3 linked regions of the Notamacropus eugenii genome follow. The protein of the gene in region 1 purifies or fractionates together with the protein of each later gene. This does not show direct contact. Links are inferred from orthologs where the notes say so. Each region holds a gene or a part of one and is shown on either strand. Other genes may lie near its edges.

Region 1 (10,580 bases):
CATCTTTTACACAGCTATCACTACAATCTTATGAAGTACAGCTAAATCATATCTAGCTATCCTGCTCTTAGGATAAAGCACAAATTCATTGGCCCTGGACTCCAACGTACTCTTGTAGTCTTATTCATAGTACCCTCCTTCACACCTAGCCAAACGGAATTTGACATTCCCAGTCCTGCCTTAATATGTTGGCATAAAGTATCCACCCTTGAATATGCCATCTTCCCATTTCTGCTTCAGTTTTAAATTTATTTTGGTATCACTACCTACTTGAGGCCTTCTCTGATGCCGGCATACTTGTATTTTTTTCTTGCTCTTTCCTCAAATCACCTTATATTTACACCTGTATACATTATAATTCCATTCCCCAATCCTTGAGGTCAATTGCTCTTTCGTTTGTGTCTTTTTATCCCTTTACCTTGTAGGTAATAGGCACTGAGTGAATGCTTGTTAATTTCAATCAACCAGCATTTATTAAGTGCTCCCTATGTGCTAAGAACTGGGGATACGAAGAAAAGGGGAAAAACTGTTTAAATGGGAGGTAATCCCAAAGGGAAGGTACTAGTAATGTGGAGGGGGGAGAGAAAATGGGAACCTGGGAGGCAGAATAGGCCAAAAGAAGGGAGAGTTAGGTCTTAAAGAAGGATTTGAGCTGAGTCTTGAAGAAATTGAGGTGGTGAGGGGAAAGCATTCTAGGGATGGAGCCAGACAATGAAAAGGCAGAAAGTCTGAAGATGGTGTGTCCTGGGAATGGAACAGCAATAAGACTAGTGTCTAGTATTATAGAGTACTGGAGGAGAGTAAAGAGTAAGAAGACTGGAAAGGCAGGAAGGAGTCAAATTGTGAAGGGCTTTAAAAGTCAAAAAGAGGATGTTATATTTGATCTTGGAAATAAGAGGGAGCCACTAGAATTTAGAGGAAAGAGGTGACACGGTCAGGACTGCCCTTTAGGATGACCATTTTGGTAGATGAGCGGAGGACAGACTGGAGTGGGGAGAGATTTGAGGCAGGAAGACCAACCAGAGGGCTATTGCAACAGGTGATGGCAGCCTTCTCCAGGGTATTAGCCGTGGGAATGGAGGAAAGAGGGCATAAAAGAGAGACGCTGTGAAGGTAGAAATAATAAGACTTGGCAATAGATTGGGTCTGTGGAAGAAAGGTGAAAAAGGACTTGAGGATGACACAGAGGCTGTGAGCCTAGGTCACTGGGAGGAAGGAGGTTAGGGTTTGAGGAGGTAGACATAATGAATCTGGGATGTCTACAGAACATCCAGCTCAAGATATTGAAGAGGGGGTTAGTGATGCAAGATGAGTTCAGAAGACGATCTGCATTTAAGAATCATCTACATAGAGAAAAGCTTATGAGATCACCAAGTGAGATGTACTGGGAGAAGAGGCTCCAGAACAGTATTGGAAAACACTAAGAATTAGATGGTATGACCTCTATGAACAATCAATGATGCAGGTTGAAAAAGAGGTAAGGTAGGTAAGAAGAACAGGAGGGAAAACCTAGAGAGGAGAAAGTATTCAAGAGAAGTGAAGGATCAATAATGTTAAAGTTGCAGAGAGATTAAGAAGGATGGGAACTGAGAAAAGGACACTAGATTTGGCCATGAAGATCATCATTGATCATCTCTGAACAGACTTAAATTAAGCACTGACATATTCATGGCCCAAACTATGTACAAGAAACAAAGCCATGTAAAATGTAATCAGTGATATATGTTTGGTGAACTGAAATGGCTCACGAAAGTCTTTGGCGCCAAAAATAATACTAATTTGGTGAGCATCCCCTAAGTGCACAAATGACAGCTCTTTCATCTATATAACAAAACAGTGTCATATATTTAAAAGGAGAAATAGATTTGAGAAATAGATTAGATAAGTTTGATCTGAAAACTAAATTAAAGTGCTCTGGTGGGGTGATGGAGCTAGAAGACTCATATTGCCCTAAGTCAGAGCCACAGGAAAAAGATTCATGGAAAAGGTAAGATTTGAGATGGACCCCAAAGTTAGAAAAGAGAGAACTCAGATATTCAGCAATCACAAGATTTCTTAATTTTATGAATGAGAAAAAAAGACAACTAAAGAGATTAAATGAAATGGTTAATATAAGTGGCAGAGTAGATAGATGGCACAGTGGATAGAATGGATAGACTCCTCTTCCTAAGTTCAAATCCAGCCTTAGACACTCACTAGTTGTGTGATCATGGGCAAGTCACTGAACCTGGTTTGCCTGTTTCCTCATCTGTAAAATGAGATGGAGAAGGAAATGACAAACCACTCCAGGATCTTTACCAAGAAAACCCCAAGTAAGCTCACTGAACAGTAAAACTCAACTGAAAAAGTACTAAACAAATAAACCAAATATATAAAGTGGCAAAGATTCAAAACCACAATCCTCTGCCTCTTAATCCAGTATTCTTTTGAGAGTGTATAGCACTCTCAACAAAAACAAAACTCTCTAGACCTATAGTGTTGCCGTGGGAGCACTAGCATATGAACAAAGGTACAGAAATGGGAATGACTCTGCTCTAGGTAGGGAGACCAATCTGTCTGATAGAGGAGGGGGAAGGTGCAAGTGGTTAATGCTGAGTGGGGCAGGGTAGGATGCAAACAAGTGTGCTACCTGGAAAAGAAGGCTGTGTTTAGAGTATAACAAACACCTGGGCTCTTTATCTTTTCAGCTGTGTGACTCAGGGTTAAGTTGTTTTCCTTTTCTGAGCCTCAGCTTCCCTATCTGTAAATTGGGGAAAAATAATACCTGCACAACCTTCCTAACTGGGATGTTTGGAGGATCAAACAAACAAAAAAAATAAAGCTGCTGTGAGTAAAGTGTTTTGTAAACTATGAATTGCTATATAATTGTCAGTTATGACGACAGTGAAAGGGATATTACTGGAAGATTTGAGGTGGCAGAGAAGGTATGGGAATGAGGATAATACATTTTAATTATGGCATGTGGTGCCGCTCAGGGCCGCAGCGGTTAGAGTTCTGGGCCTGGAGTAGGAATGACCTGAGTTCAAATCCAGCCTCAGACACTCACTAACTGTGTGACCCTGGGCAGGTCACTTAACCTCAGCCTCTGAAAATGGGGATGATAATAGTAGCACCTACCTCCCAGGGGGCTGGTGAGGACCAAATAAGATACTTGCAAAGCGCTTTGCAAACCTACTTGCAAAACTCTTATGACTAAGATTTACTTTCCTTATAGAAGCGCAGTGCAAGTATTACTGTTTCCCATCTTATATATTTCACTTCTAAGTTGTGGCTCTTCTTAGAAGTAAAATCCTCAAGGGCAGGCAGCTTTCTGTCTTTCGCCTCCTTTGGTATCGGAGCTTAATAAATGTTTACTGCTTCCGAGTCCCATCCTCAGCTACTTAAACAGAGAAGTAGGCCCGGAAGACAAGCGGTCGTTTGTAAAACACTCTAAGGAGAGAAATACCCCAAAGAAAGGTTCCGAACAAAGGATTACTACCTTCCTTCAGGCTAGGCGGAGATTAGGGAACCGCTCACATTCGCACCCCCTTTACCCCAGCTGAGCGAGGCTAAGACGAGCGCCGGCTCCCTACACATGCAAGAGTTGGGGGCTGGGATCCAGGTCTCGGGATTCCCAGAGCATAGGGCCGGGCAGAAGAATAAACATCTCTATCCTAGGCCTCCCCTTCCGGGCCTTCTAGCCTCTTTTTCTCCACTTCATCGGGCCCTCCTTCTCCTTTCGGAGAGAAAACTCCTTCCTCCGCTCCGCACACTTTCCCTTACCTGCTTCTCTTCTAGCCTTTCCCACCACTCGCGCTCCTTCCCGGAAGTGACGTTTACGCCGGCGCGCCGAAGCACGAGAAAGGTCCCGGGACGCCGGGAAAAAAGGACCAAGTTAGACTCAGTGAGTTCGCGCGCCGAGAAAGCGGTACCCGCCCCTTCCGGGAACTCCGCAGGGGGCCCGGCCTAAACTTCCCCCTGCTACCTCCTTCTCTATCTTCTCTTTTGGGCTGCCTTCTGGGAGGGTATATGAGAGTCTACCGAAGGTAAAGCTCAGCGGTCGTCCGCCCGCCCCCGCCCTGCTTCCCTCTTGCTTCCGCGTCGGCCCTTGCCCTTTGCCCTCCCTCGCGGTGGGGTGAGAGGTCAGGTGGCCATCTTGTGGCGGCGGCGGAGGCGGCTGTTACCGAGGAGACTCGGCCGCCCCTCAGGCCTCGGCCCCTCAGGCTCTTGGCCTGGCGTGACAAGTCAGTCTGCTGCTCGGTCTCGGACTAGGTATCGTCCCGGGCCTCGTGTCCATCGGCTGCCGCCTCCCGCTCCACGCCGCCCGGAAGCCCTCCAGTCCTCCTTCCCTCCCGCCACCATGTCCTCTTTCTCCGAGTCCGCGCTCGAAAAGAAACTCTCCGAGCTGAGTAACTCCCAGCAGAGCGTCCAGACGTTGTCTCTGTGGCTGATCCACCACCGCAAACACGCGGGGCCCATCGTCTCAGTGTGGCACCGCGAGCTCCGCAAAGGTGCGTATCCCGCCGGGGCTCCCCGGCCCCCGCCTCCCGGGCTGTGTATCGAGCCCCGCAGCACCCCGTGTGCTTCTGTCCCGCCCCCTGCCACCCCCGCCGCGATCCGAACCCGTGTATTAAGCGCCGATTGTGTCAGGCGCAGTGCTTACCCCCAAACACGTCTGTCCGTGCGGTTCTCCCATCCTCCAATCTCATCTTCCCTGACCCCCGCCTCCCCCATCTCCGTAGGAGCTGGGAGCAGGCATTTCAAACCTCCTATGGCTCAGGCACTGCGTTAAGGGGTAGGGGTAACCTTTCAGCGCACCCCCCTTCTCTCTGTCCAGTTCCCCATTCCGCCATGTGCTTCTGTCCGCCCCTCCCCGACTTGTCAGCCCAACATGTAAGCCACAGGTCTGTGCCTGCCCCTGCCCTAGCGCTCAGGAGTCCCAGAAAGGTAAAAGGGAGCCCTCATGCTGGAGGAGCTCGCAGACCTCTCCTACCTCCGTCCTCAGCCCCCCTCCCCGCTCTGCTTCTGTCTGGACAGATGATGGATCGAACACCTTTTCTGTGCCGAGTACTGTAACCCTAAAGGCCCTTCCTTTTCTGTCTGTCCAGCTCCCCAGTCCTCCATGCATCCCTCTCTGTGTGTTTGTGTCAGGCCCCTAGCTCTCCATGTTCCCCCACTTTACCCTCCCCTCGTCTGAATAGCTCCCGGCTCTCCGTGCATCCCTCCTGACCAGCCCCCAAACCACCAGGTCCCTACCCATCTCTCTCCAGGCCACCGCTACCTCTGTTTTTCCATCCCAACCTTCCAGACTAGCTCCCCACTCTCCGTGCACACTCCTGATGACTATTTAGCATCCAGCCCACCTCCACAACCGCCTCGGTCATTCACCACTCCACACAGCCCTCCCCACCTGAGTCCCCAACACTTCACCCAGGCACTCCTCCCCACGACTGCTTCCATGTCCTTTTTTCTTTCAAGTCCTCCTCTTTCTGCAAGTTTTTCCTTTGGGCAGGTCACCGAGTTACCACTGCAAGGTTGCTGAAGAAGCTCAAATGCCTCCTTTGGGAGGGAGGAATCTCATTCTGATCTATCTGCCCTGTTTTTCTTTCTCTACTCTTTGAATATCCAGGATCTTTTTGCTGGGTTGAGGAAGGAGCCTACGGGCATATGTTCTCCTTGAGGTACTACTGGAAGTAGCTAAAGTTAAGTCTTTGGTGCCTCAGACTTTTTGGTTAGAGTTGAGCTAGTTCACATCAGCAAAAATTTTATAGCTACTGCTATGTATAAGTTACTGTGCCTTCCCCAAAATTTGAACCATCAGTAGGAGTTCTGTGATAGCTTTTGATGCTGCTTCTCCGTGTTCTTCTCCACCTTTTATTAGCTAGAAGTGTATGTTTCAGAGGTCTTCAAATTTGTTTCCTTGTAAAATACCTCTGAAGTACTTAAAATTACCTTGGCCAAAATTAGTGCATTTTCATTGCCAGAAATATTTCTGTTTACCTAGTGCACACTCCTATTTTTCTCTTTCAACCTCATTTTTTTTTTTTTGGCTTATGAAGTCATCTCTATACTGTAGTTTGCCTAAACTGCTTTTGAAGAAACAATTTCTTTAAAAAGGAAATATGGTATTGCCTATAAAGTGGGTAACTTAAAGGTTGTTCTCAGGACCTCAAAAGAAAGTCAGTAAGTTTTTGTCTGTGTCCAACAATCAAATGAACTGATTGGGAGAGTGGGGTTAAAGGGTGGAAGAGAGAGGAAGAGAATGGTCTTAAATGATCAACCTTTGCCTTTTGAAGAGAGCTTTAATTTTTAATGTCACAATGGATAAGAGCTTTGTAGTGTGCTGTCTGTATATCTGGGGCTTTTAAAAAATCGCCTGCTGTTCCAGTAATTCCCAAGGTCTATATTTTCCTCTGACAAGACTTCTCTTTATACAGATGACTCCTTGCTAGGGGCACAGAATGTTTCCTGAGGAAGGGAAGAGAGTTTCATCCTAAACACATCGTAATAGCTTGGCTAGAAGGATTATGAAAGTTATTGTCATTGTTAGCAGTTAAACTCTTTAATTTCTTATCCATAGTCTTCTTACGTAACTCATAATTTCAAGTGCTGGAAAAGTTTCAATTCATGGGTTAGAACTTGAAGGGAACTCAGTGTTCACTTGCTCATAACACCCTGATTTTGCAAAGGAGGTCCAGAGAGGTTGAATGACTTGTCCAAGATTGCAAAGGCAGTACATGACAGAATTGAAATTTGAACCCAGATCTTATTCCAAATGCAACCCGTTCCACTTTGCCATGGTGCTGTTCTGCAGTGTCCAAATTGTTTTCTTGTTATTTGGATTCTGGGTTTTTGAACATAAGGATATGAAATATATAAACCTTTATTTAAGGAGAATTGGCTATCTTGTTATTTTTTAATTCATTATTGATTGATATCAATGCAGAGTTGGCATTTACAGATTTTTCCAGCTTTCCAGAACAGATATATGAAAAGAAATAGCTTCTATGGTATTTATACCTTTCTCCCAGTAATGAGATATAGGAGAAATTATTGAATCCACTTTTGTTTTTGACCAGTTATTAAAACTGTTAAAGTACCTTTAGAGTATTAAATTGCTTATTTGTTGTTCTGACTTGTTACTCGATAGTTTTGGAATTGAGGGCAGATATATTTATATGAGCAGTTGGGGAAATGTTTAAACTATTATGTTATTTAAAAGCCCCAAATTTAAACTTCAATTATTCTAAATAGCTACATTTGAAACTGTTACCTAATAACTGTTGAGTGATACATGCTATGTGCCTTTCAAAAGGGGAAGAAAAATGGAGCAAAGACTAGTTTGTAAGGTGGGTAAAGGTTGAAATATAATACATTTGAGTTCAAATACTTTGGCATTGAAGAAAACTTAGTGTGTTCAGATATCTGATTATACTTTTATTTATTCCTTTAAAAAAAAAAACCTTCACCAGAAATTGGTGATACAACTTTATGGTTGGGAAGTTATGTGCATGGAAACCAGGAAATTCAGTAATGTTCCCCAAAGCAACTGTAACTCAGACATACTGCATGAAGTTTTTATGGTTTAATATATGACACCATATAGAGTAATAAGAAATACTAAATCTACTATGTATAAAAAAAAAATCAAGGGTTTTGTGGGAGTCATAATTTTTATTTTCCTGACTTCATGTGTGTAAATTTTAAGTAATAATCTAGTAACATAGCATTAGTATATTTTTGCATTTGAAATAAAGAATATATCACTTAGAGGTTTCTCTTGGATTACAGAATCAGCTACCTTGAAGGACTGATGGCTAAAAATGTTTAGGAAAAAAAACTTAGCTGTTGGTTCATGGATAACAAAGAATGATTTTTAAGTAAGAACAGGTTCCGATTTAGTTTCTTTCTTCCGGGAACATACAGTAATTAACAACAACAGATAGAAATGTTCATTCTTGCAGTATATTCACAGAATTAAATGTTTTGTCTTGCCATATGCTATTGGATTTTGAATTCTTAACTTTTCATTTTCTTAAGATAGTATTTTTAACTTTGTGTATTTGACAGATGAATTTATTTCATGAAGAAATTGACAGTTATTTCTTTTTATATTAGTTTTAGGCCAGTTTTGGTAAAAATATTAAGGTCGTAAGTGCATTTTTTGCTATATTCCATGGAGTTTGTTAAATACATAGTCCTTGACCTCTAACAAAGATGTGTTTGTAATCTGTTATATAGTAAGTAGACTTTGGCAAGAAACTGACCATGAAATGATAAGTACCATAGTTAGAATGTCAGTTAAAGTATTTTCTTTTCTTCTTTCAGCCAAATCAAATAGAAAGCTTACGTTTTTATACTTAGCAAATGATGTCATCCAAAACAGTAAGAGGAAGGGGCCTGAATTCACTAGGGAATTTGAATCTGTCCTCGTGGATGCTTTTTCCCATGTTGCCAGGTATGTTGTCGGCTTTTTTCTTTAATTCTTTTCTTACTTTGTATGAAACCTTCTACCACTTGAAAATTAAATACTTTTCTCAGGATATTTTGCTAAAGAGGCCAAATTAATGGTCTTCCCTCAAGCTAAATCCTTAAAAGCTCTCACAACTATATAAACATTTTGTTACATTATGAGAGTTCAATTCATAACACATAAGGGATACTCTTACTAAGGATACTCTTTACCCCAATTATGTAACAACTTATCCTAATACTTTTCTCAGAGTCATATTTCACTTGGATTTTATTGAGTTGTCTTTTTAGCTTGTGATCAATAATATGGTAAATAGCATATTTAGTTTAAATTTTCTTAAAAGTGACTGAACAAACTTCCTGTCTCTTAAAGATAAGAACCCAAAGTGATAGTCCTTTGACTTATATCAGTCTTTATATTAAGAGGAATTTTAGGTGATGGTGCCCTAATAAAAAGAAATAAATTGTATCTCCATTTTTGCCTACATGCTCTGTTTCCAGGAAACAAAGTTTTCCCTCTGTTTTTCTTTCAACTAAAGATAAGACTTGTTTTCATAATAGCAAAAGCAATAATTACTAATGTGCAAAATCTATATTGGCTCTCTAGTGTCTTGCTAAACCTTTCCTATTTGTTTTTGCTGAAGACCTACCATAGTAGGTTCCATGTAGTGATGTAAATGACAGCCTGAATGATTTTAAATGTGATTAAAAAAAGTTTGTCACAAGAAACTGACAAGTGTTTATTAAGTTCTTACTATATACCAGGAAGTTTGCCAAGCAGTGGAGTTACAAAGAAAGGAAAAAAAATTATATTCTAATGGGGAACAATATATTAAAAATACCTACATATAAAATACATGTAGAATAGATGAAAAGTAAACTTACAGAGAGAAGGTTCCAGCAGCTGGGGGGAGGGAATTAGACCTCCTGCAGATAGTGGTTTTTGAACTGTATTTTGAAGAAAGCCTGGGAATCTTTAAGAGGTAGACTTGAGAAAGAACATTCTAGGTAGAAAATGGGAGATAGAGAATCATGTAGGAACAAAGAGGCTGATACCTCTGGACCTCAGAGTGCATGGAAGATAGTAAAATAAAAAGGCTGAAAAAAAGGTAGAAAGGGTCCAGGCTATGAAGAGCTTTAAATGTCAACAAAAGACTTTATATTTGATTCTGGAGGTAAAAATACCATAAGATACTTTGTATCTAGGAATAATTTGATTGAATCTATAAATGCTAGTCTATAGTTATGGAATATACCAGAAATAAAGGGGAGCCAGGAAATTTGGAACTGAATGAAAATTTTCATCTTGAGAAATTGACACATATATTAAGCATTTTAATAAATATTTTCATAGCTAAAATTTTAGAAGGAGAAACACTGCTTATGTCAATATTTTGGCTTGAAACATGTTTAGGAAACATCACTATATATCTTTTAATTAAACATTTAGCTATAAATTGTTTTCCATAGAGAGAAACAGGAGAAAAGAGAATCTGGTCATTCTTTAGTGAAACATTACTTGACATTGAAACAAAAAAACCCAAAAATGAAATCTCTTCTCTTTTGTCAGAAGAATAAAATCAGAAAAAAGGAATGAGGTATAATTTTGAAAAAACAAAAAGGAAATAGAAAAATATTTGAGTATATTATCAAAATATTTTTCCCTCTTTTGCATAGAAAAGCTAAATTATAAACTGATGACACTAAAAAAAACTGAAGCTTTTATTGGCTTTTATGTGATTAAAAACTAACTGGGTCTTTCCAATCTAAGTTCATTCTTGAATAAATGACTAGAATATAATACTTGGAATGGTATAGGAAGTCTTAAAATAAGGAAGATTGCTTTAGAAGTTGATGGTGCCTCACCTTCAAAACCTACATAATATACTTTAAGAAGGTAGAGGTAATCCTTAGAGCATTTGCCTGTAAGAACTGCTCAGAATGACTACGATTAAAAAATGGAAAGTAGCTTTTTTTTAGAGAGAAATTTTGGGAATTAAAATTTGATCTACCTAACTCTTATGACTAGAAATTCCACTCAGAAATGCAGACATTTAGCACCTGGAAACTATGCTAGATGTTGAGGATACAAAGGCCAAAACTAACCCACCGTACCTTCTAAAAGGGGC
Region 2 (10,580 bases), on another chromosome or scaffold:
CCCGGCTGGCCAGGCTCACAGATGCCGGGCCTCAGGGGGTCCATTTCTCCCTCTGCACAATGAGGAGGGTGCCCAGATGACCTCTTCAGGTCGACAAGTAAACCCTCGGTCCAGGAGAAATGCCCAGGGCCTAGGTGATGCTCAACACATATCATCACAAAATTAACAAAGGCTTGTCCGCTGACTGACAGCCCTCAGAACTGGCCGTATCCAGCCATGCCCTGAGACCACCAGTGAGAGGGGCCTTCATTCCTGCTCTTTTACCTACCTCAAAAGCCACATTTAGGTCTCTCCCAGTTCCACGCCACCTGGACGGCCCACCTCCTCCAGGAAGTTTTCCCAAGGGCTGCTGTTGCTGCCCACACGCACCTTCTTGCCCTTCTCAGGACGACACCACACAAGGCCCCCAATTGTGTTTCAGACTGATGAGTGTCCTCTCTTCCCAGCAAGATCCCAGGTTCCCCCAGAGCAGGGAGCACGTCTTATTAATAAGTACTAGTACAACTACCCTGGAAGAAGGCCAGGTTACAAGTCTTCCCACTCCCACTCTGCAGATGAGGAAGCTAGTTCTGAAGGCTTAAGGGCCTTGCCTAGGATAAGTAAGCTGCTCTGGAACTAGGGCTGGCAGGCCCTGAGCCCCGGCCTCCTGATTCCAAGCCCACGGCTCTCATCCAATCTTTTCTTTCCCCCTGAATCATAATATGAAAAACAAACCTCTGACCCACACCTTATATCCTATTCCACAATAAATTCAAAATGGACACTCGATCTGAATATTAGAGCTCAACTTAGAAGAGAAGCAATATGGCATCATGGGAGAAGTCTAGTCTCCCTGGCCAGGAGAGACCTCAGCAAGAATCCCACCCCTGAACTTCAATTTGCTCATCTATAAAATGGAGGGAATGGCACCTGCATTTTCTCCCTTGCTGGGCACTGAGGCCTGGGCTTGTGCAGAACAAAGGAAACTCACACCACCATGAGAGGCCACAAAGCTGGAGAGGCCGTAGGGAATTTATCTAGTCCAGGCCTCTTCATTTACCAGAGAGGAAGCCTGGGCTGGAGACAGGAAGTCACCTGCCTGCAGTCACCCAGGTTGTCTGGTTCCCTCGGGTGCCACACAGAGTCCTATACAATCAGCCCTTGTCCCAGTGGCCCGTCCTGCCAGGGCTCCTTCTCTCACCCCAGGGAAGGGGTGGACTGTGGATGTCCTCACCTCCTCTCTCATTTCATAAGATCAGAGGAAACCTCAGCTGGAAGCAACCCCAGGGGACAGCAATCCAGTCACTCTGGAGAGCAAACCCAAGAGGCAAAGGCCTGAGGTAAGTTCCTCCCCAGGTCTGGGCCCTACTTCTCCTGAGGAAAATGAGGGGGATTTAACTAAATGTTTCATATCATTCCTTCCAGGGCTGATAAGCTAGGAGGCCTCTGTGACAGCTGCTCCAGTTGGACTCTCTCCTAGTAGCTGGAGGAAGCACCATCTTTCAGACCCTAAGGGAGCCAGACAATGCAATTAGCCCAGTAGAGCTGATGGAGGGAGAAAAGACAAGGCAACTAAACTCTGCAAAGACAAGGCAACTAAACTCCGCAGAGGTCCTGGGGCCCCAAGAGAGATGGATGAAAGACTAGGGTTCCCTTGGGAAAAGGAGATGCCCCTCCCTGTCTCTACTGGCCAGATTTTCCAGCAGGGTAGGGGCTAAGCCTTTCTGGCCTAAGCAGGTTATACCATGAAACAGCCTGGCCCAGGAGCAACTGTAATAGGAAGGAAGATAATGGCTGACACTTAATTGAGCAATGGATGATTTGGGAGGCACTTTACAAAATGGTTTCTCATTTAGTCTCAGAAGATCTCACCTTCAATCCTGACTGTTACTAATGAACTTTGTGACCTTTGAAATGTCATTTCTTCCTGTGGGTCTCAGTCTCCTCTTCTGTGAAATGGGGGGGTTGAGCCAGAAACCAAGCACTCTGCTAACTCTAATACCCTATTATGTAAAATTCTGCCTGGAGCACCTCAGGCAAGTCATGACATTTCCACAGGCCTTGGTTTTCCCATAAAAGTAGTAGACTGGGCAAGATCTGGGGTTCCTAGACTGGTGGGGGAGGGGGCTCACATGTTCATACTCATACTGACTCCACTCACTCTGGGCTTTATTTAGATCAAACAAAATGAAGTGTGGCTAATGAGTTTTGTGATGAAGCTTTTATATGAGAAACGTTCAACAGGAAAAAAGCAAAACTGTTTCTGTCCTTTCAGTCTGGGATCTAGAGTTGAAGCCTTCATTTCCACCAGACGTAGGATTTCTAAAAATCAGTGCCAGTAGCCTCTCAGCAGGTGATTTAGTCTTAACAAACAAGTGCACAGTATATTCTGAAGACTATTTAAAAAGGTCTTGAACCTGGGGATCCACGAAATAAAAATTCATTTAGAGGCACTACAGGGCCTATAGGATAACATTTCCTACAACTGTGAATTTTTTTATTTAAAAAAAATAACCCTCGTACTTGGCAACGTACATACTCTGCAACAGGGTACAATGAAATGATCTCTAAGCTCACTTCTAGCTCCAAGGCCTAACAGTGCCTGCAGCATAGGGCAGTGACCACCAGGTGGCACACCACGAGGCTAGAGAAGGAGCTGATTTGTCCTACTTGGCAGTGACCGCCAGGTGGCGAGGCTGGAGCCGGCAGCCCATGCCCACCAGCCCAAACCCCTTCCAAGGCAGCCGTTAACCTCAATAAGGGGTAAGGAGCAAACCCATGGATAATTCTCCTGTTTCTACTTTGATTCCCAAGTTAAATGTCAGTTTAAACTGAGTTTGCTCAGTCCATGGCCAAGAACATCAATCGATCAATTGATCTCTTTTTGAACTCTCCCTGAGAAGGGCCCCGTGCTGGATGCCTGACAGGACACAGAGGCATCTAGGACTGAAGTCCTGGCTTCAAGGAGCCTAGAAAGTCCACAAGAATGGCCTTAAAGGAAGAGTCCTGACTAACAGGAAGGCCTCAAAGCCTATGCCACCCTTCCCAGCTCAGAGTCCTACTTTCACATGCATGTCAGACAATCTCAGAGATGGAGGGAAATGCAGGTCTTCCAGTGTAACCTGAGCCTCTACCTGCATTCTCCTATAATGGAGACCCCGGTATCTCCAAGGCAGGCTCCTCTATTGGGGATGGATCAAACTGCTACAGAAAATTCTCCCTCCACAGAAAGCACAAATGCAGCTTTATGGGCTCATGAGTCAGAGGACTTGGGTGTGAATCCTGCCTAACAATTACTACCCATGTCACCTTGGCCAAGTCTTTGGGATGAACCACCTCCGTAAATGGAGCAACTGGCCCCAGAGGTTCCCTGAAGTCTGACCCTCATCCGACCCTTGATTTGACAGAGGTCTAAAGGGCCCCAAAAGTCACAGGAGCAGTTCAAAACCCCACAGAGAACCCTCCAGTGCTCTACCTCCCACACACTGTTGCATCATTTTATCAAGTCAAAATCTGCCTCTCTATCTCTTTTACTCTTCCTTCTGCCCTCTGAGCCCAGAGAAGCTGGCCCCTCCTCCCTATCGGTTCTTCAGATACCAGAGGACAGGCATCACATACCTCCCCCTACGCCAAGTTTTCCTTGCCCCTGTTCCTTCAACCAGACCGTCCTGCACCTGCTGAAGAAGCACTAGGATGTCAGATTCTTCCTAAAACGTAGCCTCAGCACAAAACCAACCCTGTAGATGGGACCAGGCCTGGGCAGAGGCTGCTCATCTGCTCCCCATCTGCTCCCCTGGGCTGACTGCTACGCCTCCCTCGATAGATCCTCAAATCCTCTGGGCTCTTCTGGCAGCCACATCATCACACTGTTAATGCTCATGAAATTACTAGCATTCCTGCCCCCCGATATTTTCAAGTGATGTGGTCTAGTCACACCCTTCTTGTCTGAACGTCCTCAGCTGACAATTTTGAACCCACACGGGGGGGTTAAAACTAATTTCTCTCCATCTGATCTTGTTAGACTCAGCCACATGTCTGTCGTCCCTCCCAGAACCACGTCACCTACACATCTGACAATCACACCTTCATCCAAACGGTTGACAGAAAGGCCAAACAGAACGTGCCCAAGAACAATGCCCAGGCACTTCCGTAACACCCAGAAAAGACAGTTCTTTTCTGTCTGAGGCTGTCAAAGCATTCAACATCAATAACTGATGATTTTGTCAGAGGCAATGACACAAAAAAACAGGCTTGGCATCTACTCTGCTGCTGCTGCCGCCGATGGGAAGCGTCCATCTGACAGGCAGCTGAAACCTTCCCTCCATGTTGTTTCCTCCACAAAGATGTGAACTCCTGGAGGGCACGGGGGACTATTCTGTGTCTCTGGTGCTTAGCAGTGATTTGTGCAAAGGAAGAGCTTAGGAAATGCCTCACTCACTGATTCGTTCATTCATTCCTACCACTTAGGTTCTGACAAAGACAGACTTCCCTTTGTTCCTCATTCTCATCTCGCCCCTGCCTTAGGAAGTACCTTCCTTCCAGGCCCCAATGAAACCTTCCAGGGGAAAGCCATCTCTTCCTCAACCAATTTATCCTCCTGGTTTTTCCTTGCATCTCTACTATGCACTAATATCATTTATACCAGTTCTCTGTGTACTTGTTTCACTTAGACCATAGGCTTTTTTCATTCATTAACCCTTCACTCAATAACCATTTGTTAAATGCCTAGTACATGGCCTCAAGGCTGCAGGCCTAGCAGGTGGAAGCACTATGCTGGGCACTAGAGACATGAAGGCACATGTCCCTGAATCAAAGACTCAGAGCTGGGAGGGGCCTTTCAGGTCACCTTGTCCAGTCTCATTTAACATATGAGGAAGCTGAGACCAGAGAAATGAAATGACTTACTTCAAGTCAAAGTGAGCCCTGGGCCTTTGACTTCTAGGTGACTTTGGCAGTTGGTGGTGCAGTGGACAGAACATAGGGCTGAGTACAACCTTAGACACTTACTAGCTGTGTGACCCTGGGCAAGTCACTTTCCTATCTGCCTCAGTTTTCTCATCTGTCAAATGAACTGGAGAAGGAAATGACAAACCGCTCCAGTACCTTTGCTAAGAAAACCCCAAATGGAGTCATGAAGAGTCAGACATGACTGAAACAACTAAACAACAACAAAACTTTGGACTTCAACTCTGTGTCAATTTCCTAAGATCTCCTTAGTGGAGAAAGTCCTCTGACAAAGGCAGATTGCAACCCATTAACAGCTCAGTTGTCATCGAGAGGACAGCATAGCTAGAAGCAACAGGGCTGGACAAGGGCCACGAGGGATGCATTTGAAGCCAAGGCTTCCTGACTCTCAAACTCATTTTAGCTCCTGTACTCTTAATGTCAGTTGAACTGAGATGTCAATGGGGTGGGAGTGGGGTGGGGGATGAGTAGGGAAAGGGGGATTTCTACTTACGCAATCTGCAGGGCCCGGGTGCCCAGGACCCGGGCTCGCTCGTACTTGGTCATGTAAGGGGTGGTGATCCTTTTCTGGTTTGCCTGCTGCCGTTCCCCAGAGGGAAGGATCTCCACATTCTCCTGGCCCTCCTAGGAAAAGAGGGAGAGGAGAGTGGGAAATTTCCTTGTGGGTGTAAAAGGTCAAAGGCTCAGACCTAGAGGCTCCTGGCAACTTCAACCAGAGATCATGGGGAAGTAAGACTTCGAATACCCCCAACAGAGGGCTCAGTCCATTTTCCAAGTGGAATAAACCACAGAGGTGACAAGTTTGGAGGAAGAAAAGCTTAAAAAGATTTTGGCTTCCAGACCAAAATTTTACTGAATGGCCACAAGACTGGTCAAATGGAAATGTACTTCTTGTCGTGAAACCCCCGGCCAGCTGCCACATCCCGAAACCAGGGAAGAGGCTGGTCTTCCAAAGTAACTCTGTCCTAGATCTGTCCCTTCCACGACGCTTCACCTGCAAGAAGGGACTGAGAGCCCCAGCAGCCAAGGACAAAGGATGGCATGAAAAGCCTGCAGCTGGCTTGTCTGCACACAGGGCTGCTGGTTTACAGTGGGGGGGGGGAGGCGGGGGGGGGGGGGGGGGGGCTGTTCCACTCTATGCTCAGTGACCTTTGTGGTTCCAGGGTTCCAGGTGAGAAGAAGAGCCATGAACTAGAACGATACTATGCTCTGCACCCAGGTGATTGGCACCCAGGTGACTGGCACCCAGCCCTGGCCTCAGTTGTGCTGTGGCAGTAAGAGCCATGGGAGAAGTACAGACCTCCTCAGGATTCTCCAAGTCATCTAGACCCTCATCTTCCTCCACGTCATCAAAGTCATCACCATCGTAACTGTACAGGAAGAAAGCACCAGTGAACCTGGGTGCTCGGAGAGGGCCAAATACCCTCCCCCATCTCCCCCAATTCTAGCCTGGATCTGCTGGGGCAGTGGAAAAGAAGGCTGCATTTGGAGGTGGAGAAGCTCCCACTGTAAAAAGAGGGAGCTGGATGAAGTGACCGCCCCCTCCCCCCCCCCCCCCCCCCCCCGGGCCTTATCTGTCCCCATGTGGCTTCAGGATCCTCAAGGTGCTAGACTCATACCCCAAGTGCACATCACTATCCTCCAGTACCTGCCAGGGTGTGTGCGCCAGGCACCTAAGAAGACAGAGACAGAGACCAGACGGTCCTTGCCCTCATTCTACAAGAGGAGACAAAAGAGGCCTCACACCAGAAGCCACGGAGTCCAACATCGGAGGGGCACAGGCCAGTGCTAATGCGGGTGGGGGGGCGGGGGGAGACCTGCCCAAGATCATCTAGGGGTCAGGATCCGGGACAAGACGCGAAGCCAGGCTTTTCTGACCCTAGGCCATAATGCCTCTGTGATTGCACCTCTTTTCATCCTACCTTCCAATGCTGAGCCCCCATTTCTCAGTCTCCCTTCCATCCCCCTCCTTCCATCCCCCTCCCCTCCCCCCATCCTCGGGCCGCTCTATCTGCCCCTTCTCCGCACTCACTTGTCCTCGTTGTCAGACATGCCTGCGGAGCCTTGGGCTCGGGCCCAGTGGCCGCCTTGGCCAGGAAGAGCTGTCTCCCAGCAGAACCTTCTTCACGGAACCCGACGAGCCCAAGCCACCCGGTCTGGCCTCCTGCACTGCTCGGGCTCGCGCCACTGAGACCAAACTCACGACTTCCAGCACCCACTTCCGGACCGGCCCTACCAGAATTCCCTGCGCCTGCGCGGTGACCTTAGCATATGAGCAAGTTCCGGTAATAGGCCAAGGGGCGGAACCTCGAGCTCTTGGGGCGAAGAAGGGCAGAGAGAGGGCAGGGGGTGGAGCCTGACGCCAAAAAGGGGCGTGGGCCTGCCGTTGTCATGGCAAAGAGGAGCCGGATAGCCCCGAGCAGGGCGCGCGGCGGTTCCCCCGGTAGCCAGAGGCGGAGACGGAAGCAGAGTGGGGAGCTCTTGGGAAGAGGAGACCGAGACCGATCCGGTGCAGTGACATAGCCGAACCAGGAGGGGAGGGAGAGCCAGAACAGAGGACCTGGAGGCGGGGCCTAGAGGAGCCGGAGGCGGATACGGAAGCGCTGGGGGAAGGGGCGGGGCTTGAGGGGAGATGGCTAGGCCATGCATAGGAGATGCCAGGGGCGGGGCCCAGAATGTTCGTGAAGGGGCGGAGCCTGAAGCGAGGGAGGGGAGCCTAGAGCCTGGGCGGTTGCCATGGCAGCGTAGGCGGGACCAGGGGCCCGGGAAGCTCGGACCGGGCTGAGGGCGGGGCCTTCGCAGCCGTTGCCATGGTAGCCGGAGGCGGCCGCTGCTCGGAGCCCCATGGACCCGTTGGGGAGAGCGGAGCGGTCCGGAGCCCGTCCCTGGGGGAGAGGGGAAGCCCAGGGCGGGTGGCCGCGGGGGGCTTGTCACGTGGCACCTCCCCGACAAGGGCGGCCTGTCGCGATCGTCCCAGCACCACAGGGGGCGAGTTCCGCCCTTTGTGTCGCCGAGGGCCGGCCGCAGCGATCGCCTCTCCTCGTCGCCGCCGGTGCAGCCTGAGCCCCCCGCTCGGGCGTCCCCGGAGGGCAGGAGATGATTCCCATCAGGCCTGGCCTGGGTAGAGCTGAGGCTGGACTGCTCGGGGTCAGAAGAAGCCCAGAGTTGCAAGGACCTCCTGACCACCGAGGCCACCCCCCGGCCCCCCTCTAGGAATCCCCCATCCCTGTGTCCTGCTCAGGACGATTTCTGCCCTAGGAAGTAGCGAGCTCCCTGTCCCTGGAGGTCTTCAAGAAGTCCACGTTTGGGGGAGACTTCTTCCCATTCTAGACCAATGACACCATGGTCTCCTCCCACCCGATCCTCCAGCCTTCTATTTCCAGCGAGAGGGAACCCTTCTCCTTTTTGAATAGCTCTAATTGTTAGACGTCAAGCCTAAATCTGCACCCATGACTCCTGTTTGTCAGACTGCCCTCCGAGGCTGAGCAGAACCACACATCCGTCCGTAGAATGACCCTGCTAATGGCATTGCCCTCTCCCAAGACCTGCTTCCACCCATCACCAGACCTGAAATCTCTTCACTGCTCAATGGCTCATTTTAAACAAGTCATCCTTCTCCCCAAGCCTGTTTCTTAGAAGAGATCCCCTTCAGCTCTCAACATTCTGGGAAGGCTAGTCCTAAAAACCTTTCTTTTCCACCTGTAGGGTTTTGCCATGGCAGCAAAGGGGAAATCAGGAGCTGTGGCCAAAGGTACTGGCTTCTGGCACTCACGGCAATCCAGCTACACCCCAGAAACCTGTCAGCTGCTGAAAGGTCAGTGGAGGGACAGCCCTGAAGGAAGGGCTGATCAGGACAGGGCCCCAGGAGGGCTAGAAGCCCAGTGGCTCTTATATCACCTGCTTGTTTTGCAGTGATGATGGAGGAGTCCAAACTCACCAGCTTCCAGCAGCGACAGCTCATGGATTCGATGAAAAGTAATTTGAAGCCTTGATCCTCCTCCTGCCCTTTCAACACTCTCCTCACGCCTTAACTAGAATGGCACAGTAATGGCTGTATAGCTGATTAGGCACTTCTCCCATAGTGTCTAGAGATTCCTTTGGGATGTAATGTGTCATCTGTGTATGGCTCATTTTCCATATCTATAAACTAGTCTTGGTCTTTTGGGGAGGATGGTGCAGATTCCATCTTCCTTCCATGAAAATCACTGGCCTAGTTGAACTGAGACATTTGGGAGAGCAATCTTGAGGGTGCTCACTTCTGTTGGCCTTAACTTTTTCAGTAAAATGGGAGATGGGTCCTCTGTTGAATGTTGCAGGAGGGTTAACTTGAAAAGGGAGAGAAGATGGGACTGGACCTCAGAAGTCATCCAACTCTGGAATTCTGTGGGACACATTCCATTCCAAGACAGTTCTCCACAATCTGGCCTGAACCTGACTGTCCAAACTTTTTTCCCACTGCCCCCCTCTGGGGAATTCTCCTCCACAGCCAAATAGGCTCCCCTTACATTCCATGGACATTCCTCTTCACCTCCCAAGTCTTTGTACCACTTCCCTTATCCAATTTAAGACTATCCATATCCCACCTTTTCAGTAAAATTTTTCCAGCCTAGGCTGTAGCCTTGGTCTCTCTTCTTCCTCTTTACCAATTGGTACCAATTACCTGGACCATTCCTAAGGCCCTAGCCTTACAGGGACTGGACCTGTAATTTCTTTGATAGACTTCTCAGGTGAGGACACTCCCTCTACTTCCTCTGCAACCTTAGGGAGCTGTTGAAATCACAGAGAGGGTCACCCAGTCAGGATGTCAGTTGTTACTATCCCAAACTACCCCACTAGGCCTTGCTTCCTGTCCTGTGCCACTACCAGGATTACAGATGTAGAGTTGGGACCTCTGGGAGCATCCATTCCAGCCCCAGTAAGAAGCCAGGATCTGAGTTGGGGTCCTCTGTCTCCAAAGTTGCTACTTCTGACATCCTTCCTTACCAGACTTTGATGGCCAGGCTCCTTCATGGTCTTGTCATGATAGATGTCTGTCTTTGGTATCTGTGAATCCCCCCCTTCCCTCTGCTCAAGCTCAGTGACACTGGGTCCCTGATTCTTCCAGCCCACAGTTATGGAGGGCATGCTCAAAGAAGCTCCCAACCTAGGTGCTAGAAGCAGGATATAAAGACGTCTACATAGCTCTGCCCTCTGGGAGCTTCCAAACTAGTAGAGGGACACAGTTAAACAGGATGGACATCAGTTTAAATGCATTAAGGAGTTGCATAGTTTAATGAACTCTACAAGGCAGAAGGGTGTTACTTCCAGGGACTCCCTGCAAAAGCCCATGACTTGGGTCTTGGAGCTGCCTGCTAGCTGGAGGCTCTGGGGAATAGCAAAGGCCCCGGGGCAGGGGGCATTCTTGCATATCTTTCCATCTGGATGCTCTCCCTTCCTAAACCCTTAGTAGAGATCATTCCTTGGGCTCCCTGGCCCTTCCTCCACATCCTCCTCCTGCCCCCAGCCTCATCTCCTCTGCTGACCTGGACAGGACTTTACACTGGTGCATATCTGCCACTGGAAGTCAATCATCTCTGTTGAACAGATAGGGAAACTGAGGCTCAGGGGAGTAGGCTAGGAAGTGGCTGGCCATAGGC
Region 3 (10,580 bases), about 2.5 Mb from region 1:
CATTTGCAAACACTGAAAGCTATCTCAGGTGTAACAAACACAGATCACAGATACTAGATATTCCATCCAGGGTCTTCATTCTGCTCAGTTTTTTTATGGGTCTTTGGATGTTCATCTGGTATATGTGGGGTGTTCACCTCAAGGAATGGGCTCTGGGAAATTCTGTGAAGCTATGGGAGTGTAGATAGGGACACTATCATCAAGAAATGTTCAATAAGTTGCCCCTAAGCCCTACAATTACCGAAGGAACAACTGCTGGGAAATTTCCCTTTGCCTAAGAGAGGTTTAGGAGACAAAGTCTCAGTCTGATCTACAAGATATTAACAGGAGTCCATTAAAAGCTCTAATGTAATCAGAACTCAAGGACTGAAAAGAGGGAGTTGTGTTGGAAAATGTGAGCTCTGTCTTCAGCACTCATTGCATGAGCTGTGTGGTGAACCACAAACAGAGAAAGTTTCCTGTCTATCACAAACCACCATTGAGCTTTGCTGTTCTATTCCTGTTATAAACTCTCCATCACCATCCTACCAAGTCTCTCTTCTCCACCCTTTCCCTACAGCCAGGGCAGGGAAGGGAGGGGTTATGCTGGAATGAAGTGCTCACTCTCTCCCACTCCCTTCCCTAGTCCTAGAACAATAGTCAAACTGTGGGTCTGAGGCAAAGGAAAAATGCACCCTGCCAGACAGCAGGACATTGTTGGAAGTGCCTGTGGCAGTCATTCTAATGCTCCCACTGCTGCTGCCCCAGCCTCTCATCTTGGATCTTCTCCAAGGACTATCAATAGGCTTTGTGTTTCAGCCCACCCTGGTGGTGTCCTGGGTGGATAATAATAGGCTGTAGGTTCCTGGCCTTAATAGAGCAGCCAAATCCTATAAACAAAAGTCTTCAGTAGCAAACTGCTATCTGATCTGTGAAGCTAGTTCCTACTATATCCTATCGCCACGGTTGTGAAGCAGTTCTGTGGGCATCTACGGGTCAATGGTTTAAGTCCTCATGCTGGTTCTTGGTTGCCACACCTCATCCTTTCAAGATGACATTAAGGGCTCTCATCTCCTCTTGGCTCAGGGGCTTCAAGTTAAATCCTTTCAACTCTGGTTTACCTAGAGGGAGAATCAAGTCAATGGGTCAGAGAAATATAAGAATGATGTGGAGGAGGTACAGGCTGGTCCCATCACATTCTAGCTGAGAGAGCTTCCTTGGCTTCTACACACTACCATGGGAAGGACTAATAGGATCATAAGAAAAGCTAAGCAAAAACAGTTTTGTGCTAACTAAGCAACAATGATTCCCTCACTTCTCTTGGGTTTGGAAAGACTCTTGAGGGTTCCGAGAGTTTTATTTCCCCATTTATCTCAGGGGCTTTCCTGCCCACTGATATACTTCAATTGCTGCCATGGAAGAGGAATCAGTTTTGGTTTCACCCAAAATCATAAAGATCTCCCATGGGTGATACCTGCCTTTCCCCTCTCTTAGACTCAATTTTTGTCATGAGCTAATTCAATGCGACCAAAGTGAGTAATAACAAATTGGAAAGCACAGGTGAGGAAACTTTCAATGGGTCTAGATTACTGTTGTAGATAAAGAGTTCAGAATGGCCCAGGCCCTTGGCACATGCCAGTCCACTGTGCCCCTCTTCTTCACTCTTTGGATGCCTACATTTACTTGTTTTACCCCAGCCTCTGAGATCCATGCTAACCTGGGACTCAGGTTTTGGCTTTTCTCACTTTTCAGTCCCCACGAATGAACCTACCTTGGGCTTCCAAGAGACGGCTGACCTTCCTTTTCAACTGTTTCCGGAGTTTCTCTATCTCCTCATCCAGGTGCTCCTGATCTGAAAACAAACAAAAAAAAACAACAGCAGCTAACATTTTTCAGACCATTTTGCGGTTTTGAAAGCACTTTCTTTCCAAATCCTATGAAGTGGGTAGTGCAAGTAGCATTATTTTTATTTCATAAAGGAAGAAACTGAAGCTAGGAGAGCAAATGACTTCTCCACAGTCACAGAGCTACTGGCAACGTCAAGACTCATTCCAGGTGTCCTGGCAAGCCATGCGTTCTCTCCACACAATACCACCACACTGCCTGTCAACAGAAGGATCTGGAGGAGTGGGAATGAGAGTTCTATTATGCTCTACCAAGGTCCCAAAGAATAGCAGAAAAAAGGCAGTTGTGTTTAGGGTGGGAGAGGCAGCCTAATGTTGAAACCAGGCTGATGAAGCTTACTGTTGTCTGAGAGGAAGAGGAGGGGTTAGTTGAGGCTAAGAATGTGTGAACCATAATGCAAGCTGGGCTGAAAGGAGGAAGTCATAGACTTATTAAACAAAGCCTGCATACAAACTGCTAGGTGACCACAGGTAAGTGACTTTCCTTGAAGACTCCACCTTTGAAAAACAAATGAGTTGGACTAGACAGTCTCTAAAATTGCTTGCAATCTGACATTTCTATGATTCTTATAACCTGATGTCAAGAGCTTCCCATTAACAAAGAATTATAGAACACGTCTAGGTACTACATACCATCTAGCCAAAGAAACTGACTGTCCAAAGAGAATGCCTCGCTGGAAATGTTTAATTGTCTAATGAGTGGCACAGATTAATGACTCAGCAAATGGAAGGATGCAGGAGTCAGGACTCAAGTTCAACCTTTAAGAATGTATATAATTTATGAAGACCAATGAGATGAGGAAGATGCTTGTAAGCAAAGGTAACAGCAAGATCAAACACACAGAAATGAGAAAGCATGGAGTGGCGTGCCAGACGGAAAGTGAAGAGATGGTCTGGCTAGAATAAAGAGGTAGTATACAGTAAGAGAGGCTTGGTCAGACTGTGGAATTTCTTTTCTGGGGCAGGATACCAAGAACTGTCAATTACTTTGTTTTCAAATCATACCATTCTACTCTGATTAATTTTGATTCCACAGGGATCAGACATTTGGGGCTGGAGGGGACATCAGAGGCCACCTAGTCCATCTTGAAAAGGGGGAAATTTAGTCCCAGCAAAGTTGTGTCTTGCCCAAGATCACACAGACGACAACGTCTTTTTACAAATTCAGGCAGAAGTAGGACTTGAACCCAGATTCTGACCGCCCAGCCAGTGCTCCTTCCATTGTACCAGGATGGTGGGATGTTCAATTCCTTCTTCCCCAGTGAAGGATATAGATCCTGGTTTTGTCTTTCAGCACTGATGCCCCACAACCCCTTTCCCTCCAAAAAAACTGACCCCAAGAAGAAGGTTTTAGGGGCTGACTTTTTAAAAAAAAAATTGTAATCACTGTGTTTATCATTTTACTATTTCTGCTTACTCCACTCTGCATCAATTCAAATGTTATGTTCCCTTTCTCTGAATTCCTCATACTTGTTTCTTACAACCATTCCTTAATCAGCACATACTCACTGTTTCAAGTTTTTTGCTACTATAAAAAGTGTAGCTGTGAATAATTTGGGATATATGTGTATATATATGTATATATGTATATATATATACACACATCTATGCATATTTATGTGTATACACAAGCATGCACACACACACACACATACACCCCGCCTTTCTGTCTTTGACTTCTTTGAGGTATATGCCCCAAAGTTAAAACTCCAGGTCAAAGACTATCAAACTTTTGAAACTCAGACTTTGTGATCAATTTGAATTAAAACCTGAGCCTAAATGCTATGTAAAATTTGATTTAGGAGGTGAAGCTGGTGTTCACAGTACAGTTTTCGGGCTCCTTACCTTTCTCAATCATATCCTTTGTCCGTGGTCGAGGAAGTTTGATGAACATGTTTCCAAAGCAAACCATCACTTTATCTGAAACAGTAAATAGTGCATGGTCAGCTTGATAAATCAGCAAGTATTTACTAAGCGCCTACTATGTGCCAGGCACTGTGGGACACAAATACTAAAAATGAAACAATTCCTACTCTTGAAACGCTTACATTCTAATGGAGGAAACCACAGGTATATATGTGGCATATCAAGAGATACAAATACATTTAAAGTAGTTTGGGAGGGAGGACGCTAGAAGCTGTTGGGGGATGTGGAGAATCAAAAAAGGCTCTTACAAAGATAAGGAGACAAGCCAGAATAAGGGCACTAGTCGTACCCCTCACTGAGGCCAGTATCTTTGGGGCTAATGCCAAATTTAGCTAGTGATACTCAAGGACTCTTGAAGCAGAGTTTTTAGTGGATTTGGAAGTCAGAAAGACAGGGCCTCACATCCTTCCTCATCCTTACTGTCTGACCCTGCTCAGTCCCAATTTCCTCATCTATAAAACAGGGATACTAGTATTTATCTCACAAGGTTATTGTAAGAATTGGATAAGATAACATGTAGGGCACTTCACAAATCCTCAAGCGCTATATGTCCACTATTACGAGTATTCTCTGTAAGACTTCATGTATCCATAATTCCCTAAGGAAGGTGCTAGAATTTAAGACCTAGTTTGGCCAAAAAGAAAGAAAGAAAGAAAATGGAGATCTCTAACCACTTCTGTACACTCATGTTTTTAAAAAATAAAATACCGAAAAAAGCCCCACAACCCTATCTTACTATACAGGAAAGTAATGTCAAACAAACAAAAAAAAAGGAATTTATATCCATGTCCCCAAAGGCATTTACTGTATATAGTGTTCTGGACCCAATATGTAAGTGATGTGAATTCTGGATGTAAATATTCCATCTGATTTGGTTTTCTTCGTCTTTCCCTCCCCTCTTGGCTCTACTGCTGTGATGTAGAATAAAAGACGTTTAACTGATACTGACCCTAAAAGAAAAAAGTCACAGTAAATCCAGTCTTGCTGACACTCAACATTCCTAAAAGTTAGAGAACACCAGTTCCACCGAAGCTGCCGTTTCCAAGCACAGTCTTCTAGGGCGCAGGGTCAGTGCTCGGAACCCAAAGCTGGGCCAGAGGCCGAATGTTCCCCACAAGCGGCGCAGGGGAGGAAGCACCCCAGCATGGGCAGGCGGCTCTACGTGGACTCCAGGGTCACCCCTGGAAGGGCGTGCAGAGGCCGGGGAGTGACCCGCATGACCCCAGACCCCGCTCGCCCCCAACTCACCCGACTGGCTGGGGTCTCTCTGAAGGGCCCTCAGGGCTTCCCGGTTCTGGTTCCTTTTCAAGTCCAGGTCCACTATCTAGGAGAAAGCCAGACGTCAGGGTGGGGCCGAGAGGGGGGAGGGGATCAGAGGCGCAATCTTGGCCCGTTCCTCCCCCCCATCCTCCGCCCCCGGGCCTCAGTTTCCTTCTTTGTGCAAGGACCAGGCTCAAAGTCGGGGAAAGGAAAAAATGGAGGAGTACGGAGAGCAGGAATCTGAGAGCGCGTTCTCCTCGCTCCTGGGCCCTTGGCGAACCTGCTGCTTGTCGGCCAGCACCTCCTCAGCCAGCTCCTCTACCTCCCCCAGGTAGAGCAACACACGTTCGGCTTCCGCCCCCAACATGACTCCGGCAATGGTGCGGTTCGGCAGTCTCCCTGTGCGCATGCGCCAGCCACGCAGGCACGCTACGTAGTCGCACGCGGCCGCCGGCGCGCGCGGGGCACGTAGGTCAGGACGCACGCCCGGGGGCGGGGCGGGGGAAATGAAGGGGAGGACGGCCTCTGGGGCCACGTGACGACGCCTTCTGGGCCCGCGGGAGTTGGGCGGGGACGCACGTGTGCTGGTACTTTGGCGCCTCCGTCCGGTGGAGCTCAGGCTTTGCTCTGGAAGTCCTCAAGTCCGAAAGTGACAGCTGCGAGAAGGGTCACCTTCTCCCGCACGCCCAGGACTCGGGGCGAGTCCTACGGTGGGGAGAGTGGAGTGAATCTCACACCGTGTCCTCCCCTCCCCCCGCCCTTTCCTCCTCCTCTTCATCATGGGTCCTGCTCGGTGGAGCTTGGGGCAGGTGCATGGTGCAGGTGTGGACGGACTTTCCAGAAGCCTAGGTCAGGCTCTCCCTGCTTAGGTCCACAGCTATGGCCCTGACCTAGAAGGGAAGAGCTACCTGTGGACTGGAGGAGTCAAAAGAACGTTTTCAGGAAGAAGCTAGATGATGATCATTACAGGATCTATATGACCCTGGAAAAGTTCCTTCTCTGTAAAATGACGTGATTCAGATTCAAAAATTTTAACTAAACACACTTTATTATGTTATAAAAAAACTCTAGCTTTCACTGCTTTAGGAATTTTCTGGTGCAAATAATTTGGTATGTTGAAAGAAAAGGAATTGCTCTAAGAACAATAATATTTTTATCAGGGAGGCAAAATTACAGTCTTTGACCTTCAACATATATTATTCTTATCCTCAGCAGATGTAACAAGGGGGTCCTCTCTAAAACTTGGGTTTTCTGGCCCTAAACTAGGACTAATAAGTATATATAAGTTTGAAAGAGACAGATTTGGGCTTCATCCCTAGTGGTGGTATGGGCTTGGTGTACACTTGGTGCTGCAGAAGGAATATTATTCCACAGCCCCTTTTTCTACTCTCTGAAAACTTCAGAAAAACAGGCTATCAATGAATTCATTTGCTAATTAATTAGCCTTGGCAGCTAGGTGGTGCAGTGGATGGAGTCCTGGGTCTAGAATTAGGAAGACTCATCTTCATGAGTTCAAATCTGACCTCAGACACTTCCTAGCTACATGACCCTGGGCAAGTCATTTAACCCTATTTGTCTCAGTTTCTTCATCTGTAAAATAAGCTGGAGAAGGAAATGGCAAACCAACCATTTTCTTTACCAAGAAAGCCCCAACTGGGGTCATGAAGAGTCAGATGTGACTGAAAAACAATTGAATAACAATAAAATTAATTAACCTACAAGGGAATATGGCCACAGGTGGCTCAACTCTGGGTCTACCAGCCAAGTTACTCTGTATTCATGCACCACCTTCCCAAAAGGCTCCCTCCACCCTCCAGGCTATTCAGCCTATAAACTCATAACACTGAGCCTCATGGAGCTATGCCATTTCATGATACCTTGAATTTATCATTGAACTTCATATGGCTCAAGGTGTATAATATAGAATATATTTCAGCATTACTAAACTAGAAAATCAGTCATCTATCCTTTAAAACCTTCAGCCCACATTTGAAAATTTTACTTTTCACCAATTGTCTTCATTTATAAGACTTAGATGATTGAGTTTCTAGTGATTACATGATTTATTAAAACAACTTTATGTAAAGGTTACTACCTTCAGATCTTTGCCATGATCACCACAGGTCTTTAGGATCAATCTCATTTCTTTTGTTAACACACACACAAAAAAAAAGGTTTAGGGATAGGGCTGAGCAATCCTACACACACACTTTATCCTGCTTTCTCATAACTTGTGCAGTTTCATTCAGAGGGGCAGCTAGGTGGTGCAGTGGATAGAGCACACCAGTGCAGGAGTCAGGAGGACCTGTGTTCAAATCTCACCTCAGACACTTGACACTCACTAGCTGTGTGACCTTGAGCAAGTCACTTACCCCCAATTGCCTCATCCTGGGTCATCTCCAGTCATCCTGATGAATATCTGGTCACTGGATTCAGATGGCTCTGGAGGAGAAGTGAGGCTGGTGACCTGCACAGCCCTCCCTCACTCAAAACAAAGTCAAGTGCAAGTCATGTCATTATTTCTCTGATGGCATGGTCTTCTTCGGCAAGGAAGGACAAACACACGCAGTTTCGTTCTGGTCCCAAACCAAGATTGTCATTATAAATATTTAAGTACGTTTAAGCAAAAACTTTCTAACAATTTCAAGTACTAGTTGGCTTAGATGGCCTTTGTGGCTCTGTCCAACACCAAGATTCTTAAATTCTGTGTAGCCCCTTCTCTGGGAGCTAATCCTCATCCTGAAGGTTGCAGATTAGACCCCAGAGTAGGAGAGGGACTGGATGCTCCCAGGTTTCAAGGATATCCTATGAGTCTACAATCCTAAAACTTTAGTTCACAAACCGCCAGGCATCCTCTTAACAATTAACTCAAAGCAAAAAACACTTACAGAAGATGGCATAGTAAAAACAGTAGGTTCAAAACATTCCTTCCATAAGCCTGGAATATGCATTCCCACAAATACACACAGTGGGAAGAGTGAGTACAAACTTATGAATATAATGGCAGTGAGTCCCACACGTAGGAAACACAGGAAAACAAGGCAACTCCCACGGCTATTACTGTAGGACCTTGATTTCCTTTCTCTCCTTGTGCTGTTCCTCTTAGCAGTATCTCTGCTGGACAGGTCACCTAGATGTGCTCCCAGGGTCTGTTTTTCTCACCAGCTTGATTCTTGATTGCCAGGCTAGTCCATAGCCAGGTTTTTTTCTTTGCTCCCAGAGGTTCTGCCCACAACTTACTTCTGACATAAGTTCCTCAACTAGACTCCTTCCCTGAGTCTGTGTTTTTCTGAAGACTGTGTGTCTCTCATGTGTGTCCCTGTTAGATGCATTTCAACTATATCTTGAACTCTCACATTAACTCTGAAACTGTTTTTAAGGGTGATCCAGGACAGGACCAATCTCTTGCCCACATAACGTCCAAATTCTAATTCAATCAAGGACATTTTTCACACTTTATAAAAGGGCCTTCTCCTTTTTTTGGGAGATTCTTACTTTCTTATATTTTGGAGGTGTACTGGTCAACAACCAGTTTCAACTCTCAGCCCTTCCCCTATCTATAAATCCAAATTTTTTCTACTGAAAATCCTGCTTATACATATCACACATATCCCATCTGTTGTCAAGCCTTGTCCCTTTCTCTCCACTCACACAGCTGCCAGCTTGGTACAGACCCTCATCACCTTATGACTAGACTAATGCAATCAACTTTTCATCATTCTCCCTGCCTCAAATCTATCCTCCACTCAGTGGCCAAATCATTTTCCTAAAGTACAGGTTGATCTTGGCTCTCTATTACCTTCAGGATCCAATAAAAAATGCTTTATGACCTTCCCCCCTTACCTTTCAATCTTCTTAAACTTTATTCCCCTTTCTGTATTCTACAACCCAGCCACAATTATCTATTTGCTCATCTTCATAGGGGATTCTCCATTTTCTGATTCTGATTCTTTCCCCATGTCTGGAATACTCTTCCTTCCTTACTTCTCCTAGATTCTCTGGCCTCCTTCAAGACTCAGCTTATATCCCACCTTCTACTTTCGCTGTCTGTCTCCCCCTGCCCCTCATTTTGTTAGTGCCTGGCCTCCGAGATGGCCTTCCACTTACACTGTATGTATCTTATACGTACATAGTTAATTGCATGCTCTCTCCCCCATTAGCATGTGAGCTCCTTGAGGCCAGGGACCATGTTTTTTTTTTCTTTCTTTGTATTCCCAGTGCTTAGCATAGTGCCTGACACATAACTGGTACTTAACAAATGCTTGTTGACAAAGTGACTACGACCACATGGTGTCAGATTGGGTGAAGAGGGATGAGGAGAGATGATAGTTTGTGGAGTAATTTAGAGGTCCCTCATCTCTAGAATGAGTGAATTAGAGTAAGGTACAAGGGATTTTAGAGTTCTGAATTCTACCCTCTTTCCCCCCACTTCAGAAATTGATCGGACATATTAGACTAATTTGTAAACTCAGAGCTGTCTTTGACTCTTCCATCTTTCTTGCCTTTCTCCCATACCCAGTTAAATTGTCAAAGGGTTTTTGGAGACTATCTAGCCTAAACCCTATACAGATGAAGAAGTTGAGGCTTAAAGGGATATAGTGATTTTTCCAAAATCACACAGAACCCAGGTACAAGGCCAGTGTGTACCACTACATCATGCATTTAGAACTTGGTAGTATTGTAAAAGTGGCTGATTGGAATTGTGTGTGTGTGTGTGTGTGTGTGTGTGTGTGCATGTGTGTGTATTTTCTTTGTATATGTAACATGAAAATATATACATCAACAACATGCTTGTTGTTCAGTCATTTTCAGTTGTGTATGACTTCATGATCCCATTTGGGGTTTTCTTGGCAAAGACACTGGAGTGGTTTGCCATTTCCTTCTCCAGCTTATTTTACAGATGAGGAAACTGAGGCAAACAGGGTTAAGTGTCCAGGGTCACACAGCTAGTAAGTGTCTGAGGCTAGATTTAAATTCAGGTCTTTCTGACTCCAGACCTGGCACTCTAACCATTGCACCACCTATTAAAGAAAATGCACATATGTAAATAGATAGTTGTATAGATATGTATATGTATATTTTTGTCCCAATGATTCCTTTTTCATCACTGGTCTTAAATTCTCAAGATTGATCCAGTTTCTCCTCTTTTAATTTTTTTGTCCTAGTGACTCCTTGTCCACCTTAAATTCTTAAGACAGACAATTGCCCTGCTTCCCCATTGTTTGACATAAAGCTAAAAGCTCATAGATTAAGCTCCTCCCTCTCATCTTGGACCTGGGCAGATCATAGGACCATAGCTACAGAAGTGGCAAGAACCTCAGAGGCCATCAAACTCAATTCCCTCAGTTTATAGAAGAGGAAATTGAGTCTTGGAGAGATTAATTTGCAACAAGATCACATAGATGTTTGCTGTCTTTTCAGATGTAAGCACAAGGACTGCTACTTTTGTTCTAGAAGAGAAAAACTACTTAGACAGATATAACATTATATATATAAAAAATTATATATGTG

Evidence for each region.
Region 2: the proteins of RPRD1B (region 1) and POLR2F purify together in Homo sapiens (affinity purification with mass spectrometry; 4 studies listed by BioGRID and IntAct, counting the BioPlex papers as one, with this or other methods). This does not show direct contact. The link is inferred for Notamacropus eugenii from reciprocal best matches to the Homo sapiens genes RPRD1B and POLR2F.
Region 3: the proteins of RPRD1B (region 1) and PDRG1 purify together in Homo sapiens (affinity purification with mass spectrometry; 3 studies listed by BioGRID and IntAct, with this or other methods). This does not show direct contact. The link is inferred for Notamacropus eugenii from reciprocal best matches to the Homo sapiens genes RPRD1B and PDRG1.

The regions. Positions count from the first base shown.
Region 1 is NC_092872.1:428,752,024-428,762,603, forward strand, and holds the start of RPRD1B (regulation of nuclear pre-mRNA domain-containing protein 1B), read left to right. Parts: upstream 1-3,903; 5' UTR 3,904-4,339; coding exon 4,340-4,490; intron 4,491-4,642; exon of another isoform or gene 4,643-4,684; intron 4,685-8,307; coding exon 8,308-8,437; intron 8,438-10,580. UniProt on the Homo sapiens protein: Interacts with phosphorylated C-terminal heptapeptide repeat domain (CTD) of the largest RNA polymerase II subunit POLR2A, and participates in dephosphorylation of the CTD by RPAP2. Transcriptional regulator which enhances expression of CCND1.
Region 2 is NC_092874.1:295,435,662-295,446,241, reverse strand, and holds the start of POLR2F (DNA-directed RNA polymerases I, II, and III subunit RPABC2), read right to left. Parts: upstream 7,340-10,580; 5' UTR 6,997-7,339; coding exon 6,977-6,996; intron 6,315-6,976; coding exon 6,245-6,314; intron 5,569-6,244; coding exon 5,438-5,568; intron 1-5,437. Other genes in the region: C3H22orf23 (UPF0193 protein EVG1), read left to right, coding at 7,755-7,814, 8,650-8,758, 8,857-8,919. UniProt on the Homo sapiens protein: DNA-dependent RNA polymerase catalyzes the transcription of DNA into RNA using the four ribonucleoside triphosphates as substrates.
Region 3 is NC_092872.1:431,256,643-431,267,222, reverse strand, and holds the start of PDRG1 (p53 and DNA damage-regulated protein 1), read right to left. Parts: upstream 5,614-10,580; 5' UTR 5,479-5,613; coding exon 5,350-5,478; intron 5,134-5,349; coding exon 5,058-5,133; intron 3,804-5,057; coding exon 3,729-3,803; intron 1,832-3,728; coding exon 1,751-1,831; intron 1,101-1,750; coding exon 1,018-1,100; 3' UTR 1-1,017. UniProt on the Homo sapiens protein: May play a role in chaperone-mediated protein folding.